Callithrix jacchus: one gene and its partner. The protein of the gene in region 1 interacts with the protein of each later gene in a pairwise test. Links are inferred from orthologs where the notes say so. Each region holds a gene or a part of one and is shown on either strand. Other genes may lie near its edges.

What was found. The genes of interacting proteins can lie anywhere in the genome.
Region 2: the proteins of A2M (region 1) and C10H11orf58 interact in a two-hybrid assay, tested with the Homo sapiens proteins (2 studies listed by BioGRID and IntAct). The link is inferred for Callithrix jacchus from reciprocal best matches to the Homo sapiens genes A2M and C11orf58.

The regions. Positions count from the first base shown.
Region 1 is NC_133510.1:23,785,995-23,793,515, reverse strand, and holds part of A2M (alpha-2-macroglobulin), read left to right. Parts: intron 1-2,007; coding exon 2,008-2,191; intron 2,192-3,324; coding exon 3,325-3,484; intron 3,485-3,650; coding exon 3,651-3,703; intron 3,704-5,494; coding exon 5,495-5,515; intron 5,516-5,789; coding exon 5,790-5,958; intron 5,959-6,421; coding exon 6,422-6,506; intron 6,507-7,521. UniProt on the Homo sapiens protein: Is able to inhibit all four classes of proteinases by a unique 'trapping' mechanism. This protein has a peptide stretch, called the 'bait region' which contains specific cleavage sites for different proteinases.
Region 2 is NC_133511.1:82,760,273-82,768,383, forward strand, and holds the start of C10H11orf58 (small acidic protein), read left to right. Parts: upstream 1-3,586; coding exon 3,587-3,649; intron 3,650-8,111. Other genes in the region: uncharacterized protein LOC144578134, read right to left, coding at 1,137-1,188, 3,230-3,588.

The sequences.
Region 1 (7,521 bases):
GATCTCTGAATCTCTAACATGCAAAGCCTTCCTTAAGGAGTGTCAGAAATAATTTTTTTTAAAAAAGAATCATTTTTAGATTTTCATACTCATATTAATCTACTTGAGGCCATGATATTTATCTTTTACTTCCTCTTTCTTAAGGGCCCATTTTCTATTTTATAAAAACAAAGACAAGTCTCTCCCACAACCAAACATGGAACTATGCCCTGGAGTATAAAAATCTGTAGGCTGCCAAATAAAGGAAAGATTTGAAATATTGGTGTTGATATTGAAAAAGCAAGGGACTCTATTGTCAGAAGAGAAAATCCTTTTGCAGATGAGGTGGTGATGAATTCTTTGTTTCAACAAAACTGACGGAAGAACTAAAGGAAATACCAGCTGATGAATGATGAGAAGCAATTCTTGATAATAGAGTACTAGGTGACTTTTAGCATGTAATGCACAAGTTGCCAGACGGTAACAGCGAAACAATGGTTTTACCTGCCATTTACCTACTAGTATGTGAACCATTCTTCTTAGCACTTATATCTACACAAAACAAGAACAGTAACAGAATTAATGTTAGATCTTGTTTAATTATTGCAATAAGGACTATGCATCCATGGGTACATAAATTCACTGGAGGAAAAACAGCTTATCATTCTCATTAAAGATGTGCTTCAAAAGTATTTTAATTTTATATCTAATATGTATGAATCATACTTCGTAATGCATTTTGTTTTGATCAGTTACATACAATTATTTTTGAAAATAGTTCAATTAGAAGAAAATGTTTAATATTTATGAATGTATGGTCACATTCTATTTAAAAGAGGAGTTAAAGTTAAATTTATCTATCCACGTATGTTTATATATACATATGTATTTATGTATACATATATATTATGTATATATGCAAATATATGTATACATACATTTATGTATAGGTGCTTGATAATGAAGTAAGAATGATTCACAAAATATTTTGAAGTGTAAAAGTTTAAGAAAAATTTCTGTATGGCAATTGGTATGGAAATTCAAATTCAAGGAGGTAAAAACAGAAAGCTGTTAAATAGGCGACCATTAAAATAACTTTTTAATGTATTTTTACATAGCAATAGTAAGTATCTTATCACTATAGTGTTTATTATTTCATTAGAAAATTATAAAAGTAATCTAAGCATTAATTTTAAATATCATCAAAAATAATATCTTTTGCTGTTCTTTAAAATCATAATAAAAAATATGTTTACTTGAAAATATGTAAGGAGTGCACAGTGTCCAAAAATTATTTTAGACATTCTGTGAGCAAAAATGTATAAAAACTACAAATTGATCATAAATTATATATCAGGGTACTGAGCAAGTTTCTGTACTGCACATGAGTTACCAAGATCTAAAGTCCATCACTAGAGGACATTTCTGGATGAAGCCATTGTCTAATCATGAGCTGAAAGGCAAATATCTAAAACGCAAACATCCATGATTAGGTAATGCTCTAAAACTTTATTAGTTGCTTACCACAACTGAGACTTTAAAGTGATGGCTCCCTTTGAGGCTCAGATTCCATATCTTTGGAGTGGAAGCAAGTATTAGCATACAATTTTCATAGGGCTGCTGAATGTGTATATGTATGTGTGTGTATAGTTTTTGTAATGTCTGCATGACTGAGAGCTTACGTTTTACAGCAATTTGAAGATAAAATAGATTTACAGCATCCGCAAATGTAACTACATATTTTTATTTGAATTCGGATATTCACAAATTGTTTCTTAAAGAGAGGTATGCCTACAAGTTTTAATCTGTTTAAGTCCTACCTCAAGTAAAATGTTCACTGCCATGGCATGTGAGGGAAAGGGGGAATAATTCTTATGCATGGCCTTCAACAGCCAAATTTCATGCTCCTCAGTATGTCTTCTCTTGGTGTAGAACAGATGATGATAATTACTATGATGGAAAATAGTGCTGTTAATAGCAGTGCCTGCCTTCCTTTACTTTCCGCTAACTGAACCATCTCATTCCCAGGCAGTATATGGTTCTGGTTCCCTCCCTCCTCCACACTGAGACCGCTGAGAAATGCTGTATCCTTATGAGCTACCTGAAGGAGACAGTGACTGTAAGCGCTTCCTTGGAGTCTATCAGGGGAAACAGCAGCCTCTTCACTGACCTGGTGGCAGAGACGGACGTGCTCCACTGCGTTGCCTTCTCTGTGAGTGTGGCTGTTTGACTTCCTATACTTGGTTCTTTTAGTCAGGGTCATTGGGATTTTGTATTATGTCAAGATGAGGGTTTGGGAGGCTGGTAAGAACTTCCAGAAGGAATCCAAGTGTAGCAAACTAAGTATAGAAATTGAGGAGCAATGCGTGACTCTCCAGCCACTGGAGACAAATATTTTTTACAGGCACACTAAAAGTCAGCTTAATAATTAAATAGGAACCCTATCAGCCAGAAAGAAAAAAAAGACAGTGTGACTTCTTAAAATTAAGATAGAAAATATATTAATAAAGCATATGAGGCCAGGGCTCAACATGAGCCACCAGTGGTGGACTCACAGGAACACGTCATTCCACACTACTCCTAAGAGCAAAAACTGTAGAAATTACCCTGAGCGAAGGTGTAGTATCTCTTCAGAGTTGCCCACATGTGAGATGCTTACAGCCTAGTGTCAGTAAAATATAGGGTTTTTTTTTTTTTTTTTTTGAGACGGAGTTTCGCTCTCGTTACCCAGGCTGGAGTGCAATGGCGCGATCTCGGCTCACCGCAACCTCTGCCTCCTGGGTTCAGGCAATTCTCCTGCCTCAGCCTCCCAAGTAGCTGGGACTACAGGCACGCGCCACCGTGCTCAGCTAATTTTTTGTATTTTTAGTAGAGACGGGGTTTCACTAAACCAGGATGGTCTCGATCTTTTGACCTCGTGATCCACCCGCCTCGGCCTCCCAAAGTGCTGGGATTACAGGCATGAGCCACCGCGCCCGGCCCTAAATATAGGGTTTTTTAATACCCATAAAACATGCTTCGACCATGCCCTTTTAGCATGTAATATCAACCTGGTAAAGCTCACTGCCATGTATAGTTGAATCAAGGCGTTTTTTTCTGAGCTATATGAAGATATGAATCTCACTTACAACCTCTCTTACTAATGTATGTTTCTCCACCTTGTGTCCAGTCTCCCCGTTTGTAAAATGGTAGAAGTGATTCTTGTCCATGCCAACTTTCCCTGCTGAGAACAAGGGAGTGAAGTGAAGTAACAAGGGCAAGGTCTCCAAGGAAGAGTAGAACAGGAAACAGGGGAGGAGACCTGCGGGTGCTGAATGGGGTTTCAGGATCTGTCCTATATTTCAGGTCCCAAAGATTTCATCCAGTGAGGAAGTAATGTTCCTCACTGTCCAAGTGAAAGGACCAACACAAGAATTCAAGAAGCGGACCTCAGTCATAGTTAAGAATGACGAGAGTCTGGTCTTTGTCCAGACAGACAAATCGATCTACAAACCAGGGCAGACAGGTATGAAGAAGCCTACAGTTGGGACAACTTCAAAAAGGAAAGTTCTTCTTCCATTGGGTGGTCCCCAGGCAAAGTTCCTATAATCTTGATTCCTTAAATAGCTTATCTTACCAACCTATAGCCCTACTTTGGGTCTGGGAGCTCATGAAAAATATTTCTGTTTCAGTGAAATTTCGTGTTGTCTCATTGGATGAAACCTTTCACCCCCTGAATGAGTTGGTGAGTTTTCTATTATCTACATAAAATGATTAGCTGTATAAACAGGCTGGGAACCTGTTTTCTGTGTTGGGGGAAGACCAGGGAGAGGAAGAATCTGGTATCACTAACAGTAACTTCTGGCATTACAACAACGCAAGATCCTAATCCAAAACATCATTCCAGGTAGAGTAAGCAGGTAATTCTTCCTGTCTTGGTGCTGCTACTCAGCACAAAGCACTGATAAACTAAATGTAATCAGTTGTCACACAATTAAATTTATTTTTCAGATAGTTCTTAATTAGGATAATTAGAAAGATATATTAAATAAAAGACGCAGATAAACCCTCAAAGAACCTAAGTTCAAAAGGCATTTTAAGTATTTAGACTCTTTCTATACATACCTACCAAAATCTTTGCTATAAAGAAAAGTCAAGGTAAGTAATTTGTTCCTTTGTATGTGTGATAAGAAACAACTCTTTCTATTGTAATGCACACATCAACCCAAAGTTTTCATTTTTTTCTCCCAAATCTACTTCTTCACATTTTCTTATCTCCAAAAGAGGCAAGTCTGCTCTTCTAAATCCAAAGACAAAAGATTATAGAATAGTCCTTGTTTCTCTTTCTCTCATACCCATATCCACTTCACTGGAAAATCATGTTGGGTTAAAAAATATTCAGACCACTTCTTATCATCTGAACTACTGCTGCAAGCTAGTCCTACCAATGTCATCTCTAAATAAGATCATTGCAATAGCCTTCAAAGTGGTCTCCCGGCTTCTACTTTCACTTCTCCATCTAAAATGAAGCACCACATCCATCACTGTCAGCCTAACTCTCCTTTGTTTTTCTATTGGCATTTACCACCAGCCTATACATGAGTTTTTTAAAATCTGCCCAATTCTATTGTAATGTAAGCTCCATTAAATCAGATATATTGTTCTTTTGTGCTTAGTTATATTCTCAATATCTAGAATGATATACAGCCCATGAGAAGGTACTTAATAAACATTAGTTTTTAAAAATGAATGAACATTGATACTAGCTTCTCTATCAATATTTATTCATTTTTTGAAAGTGCTATTTATTAAAATAACATTTATTAATGAAATATTTCTGTTCCTCCTCATTCTTAGAACTACCTACAAATTCTATGACCCATCTTAATGATTACATCTGAACATACTTACTTATAGTTACCTAAGTGTTTATTTCTCAGCCTGTAAAATTGCATAGCAAAAGAATGTTCTTCACTAAGATGCTATAAGCACTTAAGAAATGTTAATAAATCCCTTTCTAGTAAATGGCACTGTACATGTAGATTTGTTGCTGATGGCCTAGTAAGTTCTTACCATTATTTATTAAGTGCTTAAAATAGATTAATGAAGAGTTCTCTAAAATTTAATCTGGAATCTTTCTGTATTTCACTATAGAGGGAGTTATTCTATATAAAACTTTTTTAGTTTTTTTAAATTTTTAATTTTTTTAATTTTTGTGGATACATAGTAGGTGTATATATTTATGGGTTACATAAGATATTTTGATACAGGCATGCATATTATTATCCAGTCATTATTTAAATCATTATCCAATCATGGATAATGATTATTATCATGCATTGCATGCCTGTATCAATAAATGGGATACTCATCCCCTCAAACATTTATTCTTTATGTTACAAACAATCCAATTATACTTTTAGTTACTTTTAAATGTAAGATTAAATTATTTCTGACTATGCTCAACCTGTTGTGCTTGTAAATGAGATTTAAGAATTTGAAAATAATTATAAACTTTCTTTCTTTTGTGTTTCAGATTCCACTAGTATACATCCAGGTAAGAAACATGAAGCATTCCATATTAGAAGGAAAGTAACACATATAGGGAAATGCTCTTACCTGAGAGGTTTTAACGACATCTCAGAAACTTGTCATTAAAGGAGAAGCCTTCCAACTCACATAGGGCTAGATGGTTATGACTCATCTCCTCTCCTCACCCTTTACCACTACCCCATTTGTCCTTTTTGTAGGTAACAAGAGTTTCCATAGATTTCTTTTATTATGTCTAATGCTCCAGGTGCTTTTGTAAATTATAATTCATTTATTCATAGGATCCCAAAGGAAATCGCATCGCACAATGGCAGAGTCTTGAGTTAGAGGGTGGCCTCAAGCAATTGTCTTTTCCCCTCTCATCAGAGCCCTTCCAGGGCTCCTACAAAGTGGTGGTACAGAAGGAATCCGGTGGAAGGAGAGAGCATCCCTTCACCGTGGAGGAATTTGGTATGGATCATGGAAAGTCATGGAACATGTTTCTTCATTCATGTTTAAACTCCTAGGGCCTGGAATTTAAGCTCATTTGGAGTCTTTCCATTTCCCATGGGTGACATTGGGCTTGGAGTAAAACTCATCACACCTAAGTCCAATGAGGGACATCAGTGATTTTTAAATAGGACTTCACATAGCTTGGTTATTTTCTATAGTAATATTTAATACCTCCCCCAGAAATTTAAACAGCCTCATTTTAATGGAGTTTTCCATAATGAATTAAGCATCTTGCAATCTCTCATAGTCACTCAGCTAAAATCTTCATTTCAGAGGAGGATGGATAAGAATATATTGGAGAGCAGAGCTGCCTTTTCAGAGCCCTAAAATATTATTAGGGAACTGTTAAAGGGAACCTGAAAATATGAATTCCTTCAAAGTTGAAAAACAATCACCAACCTTCTTTATCACCAATCAACAGTTCTTCCCAAGTTTGAAGTGCAAGTAACAGTGCCAAAGATAATCACCATCTTGGAAGAAGAGATGAATGTATCAGTATGTGGCCTGTGAGTTCATTTTTTTCATCTTCTCAGAGGAATTATTTAAAAGAGACTCACTATTTGGAATATTTTAGCTACTCCCTGTAGGAGCAGTGGCAACACAAAAATTTTAAGTGCTTTGACACCTTCTCATCTCTAGAACGTTATTCTTCTGTTGCTTCTCTATTTTTCCTTTTTATTTTCTTTCACGTTCTTATCAGCATTGTTCTGTCATGAGGTAAGGAACTGTTTCTAGAGAGGTTATGCTAATAGGACAGATTCTGAAAGTGATGAAACCGCGCGCGCGCGCGCACACACACACACACACACACACACAGAGGAAGGGTGGATAATGTTGAAGGGTATTGGCTCTGCCTTAACCAAAAATGACCAAACATTATCAGAAAGATAATTAACACATAGCTCTAGGGGAAATTCAATCATCAACAGATCATTTACCTGACCTTGTATGCTCAGTGGAAAAATCACTTAGATTCAGAATTTGTAGAGATAGGCATACAACTGAAGCCTCATCTAACTCGCTAGTCTACTTAAGGCAGGTCTACATATCTCTGCACTGACATTTTTACCGAGGAGACTGAACATGATCTCTCAAGACAGTCTCTTCTAACCTTGAAAAATCATGTATCCTGGATCTAATGCTCCTATCCCTGGTGACACACAGTAGCGGTAGCAAAAAGAGCAGGTAGAGTGAAGAAATCAGTCCTGCCCAAAGATCACACATGTAATACACCTACTATTCAGCGGGCCCCTGCCCCAATTCTGTCTCACAGTAATGGTCAAGTTCCTGGTTCCTCATAATTTGTGGGCCAGTGATCTTGCAAAAAGAGATACAGAGGACATTTTCAAATAGGAAAGGAGACAAATCCACTTGGAAATCCAGCAATCATCCATGACATATTTATGACACGATCCCACTTTTGTAAAAAGTAAACAAGTAAAACTCAATATAATATTGAGATGGCTGCACATGGGGAGAGGATGATGGAAGAAGAAGCACTATCGTACTAATAGTTTATAC
Region 2 (8,111 bases), on another chromosome or scaffold:
TATCAGGTTTCAGCACACTGGATACTAACCATTACTGAATATATGCCATATCCTACTCCCACTTTTTCAAGGCCTAGCTCAAAAACTTTTGAAGAATAATTTTCCCATTTCCCTTAGCTGAAATGAACTATTCCCACAGCATTTTATTTGTAATTTACTGATGCCATTTAATCATTCTCCTGCCAAGCTATAAAATCCTTGCAGTAAAAGATTACGCATTATTTACTCTGGTTTTCCTCAAACTTGGCACACTTCCCGACATATATGAAGCATCTTATTTAAAGTTGGGTTATACTGGCACAGTGGAAAATGCATTGGCTTTTGGAATGAGATAGACTTAAGGACTGAATCACTCACTAGCTACATTGCTTTAAGCAAGTATTTAAATTTTCTTAAGGTTAATTACCTATAAAATTACCTACTTCTTGCAAATTATTGTAAAACTTTGAGGTCAATTCTAAAAATCACCTATAAAAAGCATCTAACAAAGTATATGGTGCATGGTGGGTATTTAATAAATGGTAACTGTAATTATGACCCTAGGAATTTTTTTTAAGTCCCAAGTAAAACAGCAGATGTTTTTGGTACACAGCATAATTGTCAATGCTTTTATTTCCTCTTCAGGTTTAACTATGCTCAATTATGACTACCTCTGTTTGAAAGAATGTACTCAACAAACATCTATGACTGCCCACTACATGCTAAGTGCTGGGAAGATTAAAAACAAAATGAAAAGTTCTTAGTGATAGGGCCTCCTCTCCTTGTCTTTACTACCCAAGACAGAACAACACTGCTGAGTTTCTGAGCCTCATATATGATACCACTCTGATACTAAATAATTTAATCCTTCCTATATTAATTCAGAACATTTATTAACTACCCTGTGACAGGCATTGTGCCAGAAACAAAAATGGAGATGCAACAGTCCCAATCCTTAAGAAGGTATTTCATTGTTTTACTCGTGATAGTGTATCTTTGTTATTACAACACAAGAAGAGCATTACTGAGTTTCTGTAGCATACATGCATACTATTACACTGTATAATTTCATCCTTACCTAGAGCCTTCTGTATATGACACTGATTAAAATCTGATAAAATGTTCCAGTCTTTAGTATTTCCTATGTTACTTTTTGGTTAGTGATCTTGTTTTACAGTAACTTGAACAGCCATCCAGGTGCCAACAATTCTGGTGAAAAAATAAAAGACATATTGCTAGCTTATTAAAGTTTTCTGGACTTTCACTAATTAGTAAAATTAAAATTATATAGTAACTACTATTCTTATTGATAGTCCTTTCTTATTTCAGAATTCTTTTAGCAGTCTAAAGTACCTATTCAGCCATCTTGTTTGTTTATGGTAATACAGCTAAATCACCATTTGTCAAAACCAGTAGAGGTGAACTGTAGTCGAAACTGCAAAACTCTGTAACTTAAATGTACTTTCATTGGAATTAATAGAACCTAAGTAGAATCATGGAGTTAGTACTGAAAATATTTTAATTCTAGCAAAAAGCAAGCAACCACTTCCTAAAATAATGCTTTTTTTTTTTTCTCTTGGGTTACTCTCCTCCTCCTTTATTTATGATTTATGCTTACCACAAAACTAATAGATAAAGATGTTTTTTGTTTGGTTATACTTAAAAAAGATGACCCTGATATCTTTTTTTCTATTATACTACTTATTATTACACTATTTCTCTGCTTCCAAAATAAAGGAGAATTTGTATCTATGACTGCATAAATTAAAAAGTTACCTTCCACTGGTCACAGTTCTATCAGCGGTTCAGGGATCATTTCAAATCTAGGAAAGCAGTATTTGTACACAGACAGTCAAACTAGAACAATTGCTGAGTTTAAAAGCTAATAGTTAAGCGTTGTTTCACAGACTGCTTTCAGTTCCAAAACACTAGATATGTATAATCCATACTACTTAATTGATTTTTTTTTTTTCTGTCGGAGTCTCGCTCTGTCACCCAGGCTGGAGTGCGGTGGCACGATCTCGGCCCCAGGAAATTTTTTAAGTGTCAAGTAAAACAGATTTTTTTTTTTTTTCACAGCATAATCATCTAATAACCTCGGCTCACTGCAACCTCCACTTCCTGGGTTCAAGAGGTTCTCCTGCCTCAGCCTCCTCAGTAGCTGGGATTATAGGCGAAGGCCACCACGCTGGGCTTTTGTATTTTTAGTAGAGACAGGGTTTCACCATGTTGGTCCCCCTGGTTTCGAACTCCTGACCTCGTGATCCACCCACCTTGGCCTCCCAAAATGCTGGGATTACAAGCATGAGCCACCACAACTGGCCTAAATGATTTTTGCTTTAAAAAAAAAAAAAAAATCACGTGTGGTTAAGGTAAGAAAGCTTCAGAATTAGCAAGGACAAGGATCCTGACAGAAAGGTTCAGATCTGGTTACAGATTCAGACACCTTAATACAGGAAATAGTCTCCAGTATCTGAACAATAAACACCTTTAAATGCAGGGCTTTCTGAGTAGATGAGTGGATTACTAGAGGCTGGGAATAGGACGAGAAATGAGGAGGGATTGCTAATGGGCACCGGGTTCCTTTTGGAGTGATGAAACGTCTTGGAATCAGATAGAGGTGAAAGCTGCACAAGATTGTGAATGTACTAAGTGCCACTGCATTGTACACTTTAAGATGGTTATTTTTATATGTGAATTTCACCTCAACAATTACTTTTAAAAAGAAGGAAAAAAAAAAAAACCATAGAGGTTTTTGTGCCAGGGATGGATTTTGCTTGGTGAAGTCCCCTATAGTAAGGTGCCTAGACACCCAAGGTCAGCGAGGAGCACTCCCACCTGACACAAAGCCGTATGAAAACGTACAGATTTCCCTCAGCTGAAACCCCGTTTTCAATAACCGCCAATTAGTCAACATTTAACAACATACTGAATTCATTTCTGTGAGTATGGGAAAATAGCGAAATATACATCAGAACCTTTAGAAAGCAGCATCACCGGCCACCTAGAAATCCCCTGCGGGCAACAGAAAACTAACACCATGATGGAAATGGTAGAAGCCATTTTTTGTTAAGGTTTTTGTCCTGGGTGGAGGGTATTCGTGAGGATTCAGTAAGCCTCAAGCATTACATTTAAACACAGGTGCTTAGCTACGATGATGCATTTGCCAATAGGGCAGCGTCGCACGGTGAAAGGAGAAAAACCTCTATAAGCCTCCTTCTGTGGCACGAAGCTCTCAGCCAACGCTCACCGCCATACCCCCAACTGCGGGGACGCTCCCTCCTTCAGTCGAAGAAGGCGGGGCCTCCGAGGGCACTCCCGCCACACAGCGCGAATTGAGCCTCTAGGCTTTCTGGGAATTGTAGTTTTTGTCACCCATACATCTTTTATTCGGGCCAGTATGCAGTGAATCAGAAAACTACAGCTCCCAAAGTACCGCGGGGCGGCGAGCGGCCACAACGGTGACGACTGTGGTAGAGAAGCCCTGGAGGGGCTCTGCGTTCTGGTGTGGCACTGCTTGGGCTGGTTGCGGATTGCAGGCTGCTGGTGTTGCGGCTGAGGAGAGCGGCGAGAGGGTTTCACGTTTCTCGTCAGGATCCCCGCAAGCATGAGTGCTGCCAGAGAGTCTCACCCGCACGGGGTGAAGCGTTCAGCCTCCCCAGACGACGATGTAAATAACAATGGCGGAGTGGCTGAGGGTTGAGGCCTACTAAAGGCTTGAGTAGGCCGGAAAGGGTGGATGGAGGAGAACGCGCCTGAGGTGGCCCGCAGCGGGAGAGGCCACGGGAGAAACCAGAATGAGTGGGCAATGTCTCCCTTAATCTTTAAGAGTTGGAAGGTTTTTAGGAGGCCCACACGCTGAGAGCCGGAGACCTGAGTAGGAAGGGGGTTTGAGGAAGGAAATTCTGAGAGGGTCGAGGAGTGAAAGAGCTTAGTCAAGGGATTTCATACGTGAGTTTTGAGGGACCGATGAGGATGCTTTCTCCGGCGTTTGTACTCAGGTAGAGACGGCAAGACTCTCCCTGTTTTGGGTTCTAAATATTCCTGTGACGGTGTCGAAATGTTCGTGCACGTTTGGACAGATTTTTCCGGCCTGGATGATTTTTGCAGTGTGCCGTTGAGAGTTAACGTCAACTGCACTAGTAAGGGTAAACCGAGAACAACATTGAGCCGAAAATTGTGCCACGGGTGTAATTTGGTTCTGAATGTGGTGGTGAGGTCTAAGACGTTGAGACCTAGAAGCCCATTTTGATGTCAGATATTAATACCTCGTTCTCCTTACCTCTCCTCCCCATCAAACGCCGTTCCCTTCCCCAGCCCCCACCTTACCGGTTTTAATAGCAAACGGTTTATCCCTTAAAGTAACCCATTAAATATTTACTGCAGTGCCAGGTGTTGGGAATTCGGAGATAAATATGATGTTTATTTTAAGTCTTTTTGTATATTTGGCCTAACTCCTAGCGCAGTGTCATGGAAACATCAGGTAATCAGTAAACGTAAAACTACGTCCTTCATACAATGGATAAGTGTCTTTGGAACCTTGATGGAGAAATTGTTGGAGAGGGCGCGGTGAGGTCATCGTTAAGGATGATAAAGGAATAACTAGGATTTTTTCAGTTTTGTTTAAAGTGCTATTAATTTCTGAATACATAAAGCTTTAAATTTTTCTGGAGTGCATTTCAGTGCTTTTCATAAAATTTTAAATCTTCACTTTAATCAGGGAAGATTTGAGTATGAATGGGCATCTAGAGAAATTTATCGGTGCTCTTTGTTCTTTCTGCTACTGGCTTTTAGATCTTGTTAATATGGTAATTAACGTTTTCTCAGGAATTGATTCATGCTTTTGAGTAACCTGGCTGCCATTTGAAAAGCTGTTACCTTGTTTTCCTCCTGATTTGTAACTGTGACTTGATTGCTAGGATGTCAGGCACCTGTTTTGCTACACTCAGAAATAATATTTTAGCATGACAGGAAACCGCAGGTGATACGCAATTTAACAGAAAGGTAGAGATTAAGTTTACAGTTCTGAAAAGGTCACTTTAAACTAGATGACCTTTAAGACCTTTCCTGGTCATATAAGCCTATCTTTAAGTACCTGTGTTTTGTTTTTGTTTTGAGACAGGGTCTCACTCTTTTCCCCAGGCTGGAGGCCAGTGGCATGATCAGTGCTCCTTGCAGCCTCCACCTCCCTGGCTCAAGGGGTCCTCCTGCTTCAACCCCCTCTCCCCCTGCCACCACCACAGTAGCTGGGGCTACTGTGGTGTCCCAGCTGCAAGCCACTACATCTGGCTAATTTTTTGTGTTTTTAGTAGAGACGGGGTTTTGCCACGTTGCCCAGGCTGCTTTCCAACTACTAGACTCAAGCAATTAATTCGGCCTCCCAAAGTGCTGGGATTACAGGTGTGAGCCACCTCGCTTAGCCAGTACTTTAAAAAAAAAAAATTTTTTTTAAACCATATGTAATGCATTCATTAAAATACCTCCAAGCTGTTGTAGAAAATAAGCTAGCTATAATATATAGTTGGGCCACAGTTTCTAATGAGTATCATAGTATGTAAGAGATCATTAAAGTTTTCTTATGCCCATTGACCTCACATCTAATTGGGGTAACAAAACTTTTTTTAAATATTAAAAGTCGATACTAAATCACAGAATACAAATCTAGAAAAATGCTGACAATGTAGCAGTAAATTCTAAGAGTCACTAGGATATATATTGATAAATTAATTGCAGGTCTGTAGTAAAAGGTATTAAGGATGAAGACAACCTAAAAGTAGTTTCATTGGCTTGGAGTGGAGAAATGAAAGCTATCTTATAGGGAGTGGGAGGAGTGGGGAGGTTGGGAGAGGTGCTAAGGAACCTCTCTTAAATTGTATAGGGCATTAATGTGCTTTTCAGAATGCAGCATTTGGGCAAAGTACTCGCTGTTGTACTTTAAGGCAGGAGTCCCGAACTCCTGGGCCACAGTACCAGGCCACACAGCAGGAGGTGACCTATGGGCCAGCCAGCAAAGCTTCATCTGTATTTACAGCTGCTCCCCATGGCTTGCATTACCTCCTGAACTCTGCCTCCTGTCAGCATTAGCTTCTCATAGGAGCGTGAACCCTGTTGTGAACTGCATATGCAAGTGATCTAGTTGCACACTCCCGGTGAGAATCTAATGCCTGATGATCTGTCACTATCTCCCATTACCCCCAGATGGGACTGTCTAGTTGTAGGAAAAGAAGCTCAGGGCTTCCACTGAGTCTACATTATGGTGAGTTTTATAATTATTTCATTATCTATTACAATATACTAATAATAGAATTAAAGTGCCCAATAAATGTGATGCACTTAAATCATCCCAAAACCATCTCCTCTGTGAAAAATTGTCTTCCACAAAACCAGTTCCTGATGCCAAAAAGGTTGGGGACTGCTACTTTAAGGTCTTTGAAAAGAAGAACTGGCAGGACTTAATGTTATTTTCTTAAAACATTGGGATTAAAAGTTGTAGATGACAGGGTTATTTATATAAACACCGAAGATGTTTTGCTCTTTTAATAGAAACGGAATCAAGAAAGTTGGTTTTTAGACAATTTTTTTAACTTAATTCTCTACATTTTTATAACAGTAGTTAGTTCATAGACCACTTTCAGTATTCTATCTCATTTGATCATGGAGAATATGATGTGGAAAAAACAGAGGATGGTCAGAGGATTGAAGCAAGTCACTTAGCCTCTCTGTGCCTCAGTGTCTTAAGACACTTTAAAAGAGGCCTCTCTATAGATAAGAAGTTAAAATTAAATGTCAGATCCTGGCTTACAGAGTCAGAACTGAAGCTTCGCTATTACTTTAACTATATTGAGCCAGCAATAGGTAAGAACTAAATGGCCTGTAATAATATATCAAAGGTCACATGAAAAGAAGTAGAGATTTGGAACTTAGGAAGCCAAAATTATGAGAGCATATAAGCCCTTCCACTAATGAGAATTTAGAAGCACAAATGGGTCCAGATAGGTACAAATGCTTTAACTCGCATATGCCCAGGAGAAATAGTGTTTTTTTAATATTCTTTTAGTCTTTTACAAATAATTTTTAGAAATAAGAATAAAAGGGGATAATGCAAAACAACTTTATTAGGAATTTTAATGTGAATTTAACAATAACAAATTCAAATTTATAAACTATGTTTCCTAGATTTTGGTGGTATATACAGTCATCGTTCAGTATACTAAATGTGGGAGATTAGTTTTAGGACCCACCCACCTCCTTGGCAAATCTTGCATCAAGTCCTGCAGCCAGCCCTGTCAAACCCAAGAATAGGAAAAATCAGCCTTCTATATACTTGAGATGGATCTGCATTTGGTTGAAAAAAAAAAAAAAACAAATTATAAGGGACCCTTGAAGTTCAAACCTGGGTTGCATTTGCATCATCAAAATACAATACTTGAAGAATTTTTGCAACCTTCTATTGCCTACAATTTTGTGTTGAAGAAGGATTTGTCATCCTTGCTTCATAATTGCAAAACATTTTTATTTTTAGATTATAAACTTAATTAGAATGATAAATTCAGTGAATATTAATATTTTTATTTCATTTTCCTTCCAGTCACCTTGTATATATGCCTGTCTTCACCCTTTGTCCATTTGCAACCAAATCAAGTAAATTTTCATGCATAAAAATGGTAAAAGATGAGATAAAACAGTAATGCCTCCTTTTAGAAAATGGGATCATCCTGGCTCTTACTGCAAAATATTGCAAGATGAAGTCTTTCTTGCCAATGGCTCTCCCAGTGAGAGTACATATCTTGTTTGCTTGTTTTTTTTCTTTTCCTTGTTGATTCTTGGGTGGGAAAAAAGCCTTCTAGTAATCCTCATCCAAAAACTCATAGCTTGAGATTTTTGCACAGTCAATTTTATCATCATCGTTAGTCTAGAATACAACTGCCTGTCATTCTGCATTCACTTTCTTCTTCGTTTAATAATGGTTAATGCCTTCTGTCAGTATTTTTTCTTTGCCGTTATGAATGGAAAATGAAAAACTGAATTCCCATCTGTGTTCAGTGAAAGCTATAAGTAGACAACAGAGGTATGATGTCTTGAAAGATGGTGATGAAATACTTTGGACAATACAGTGAGATAACTTTTTAAAA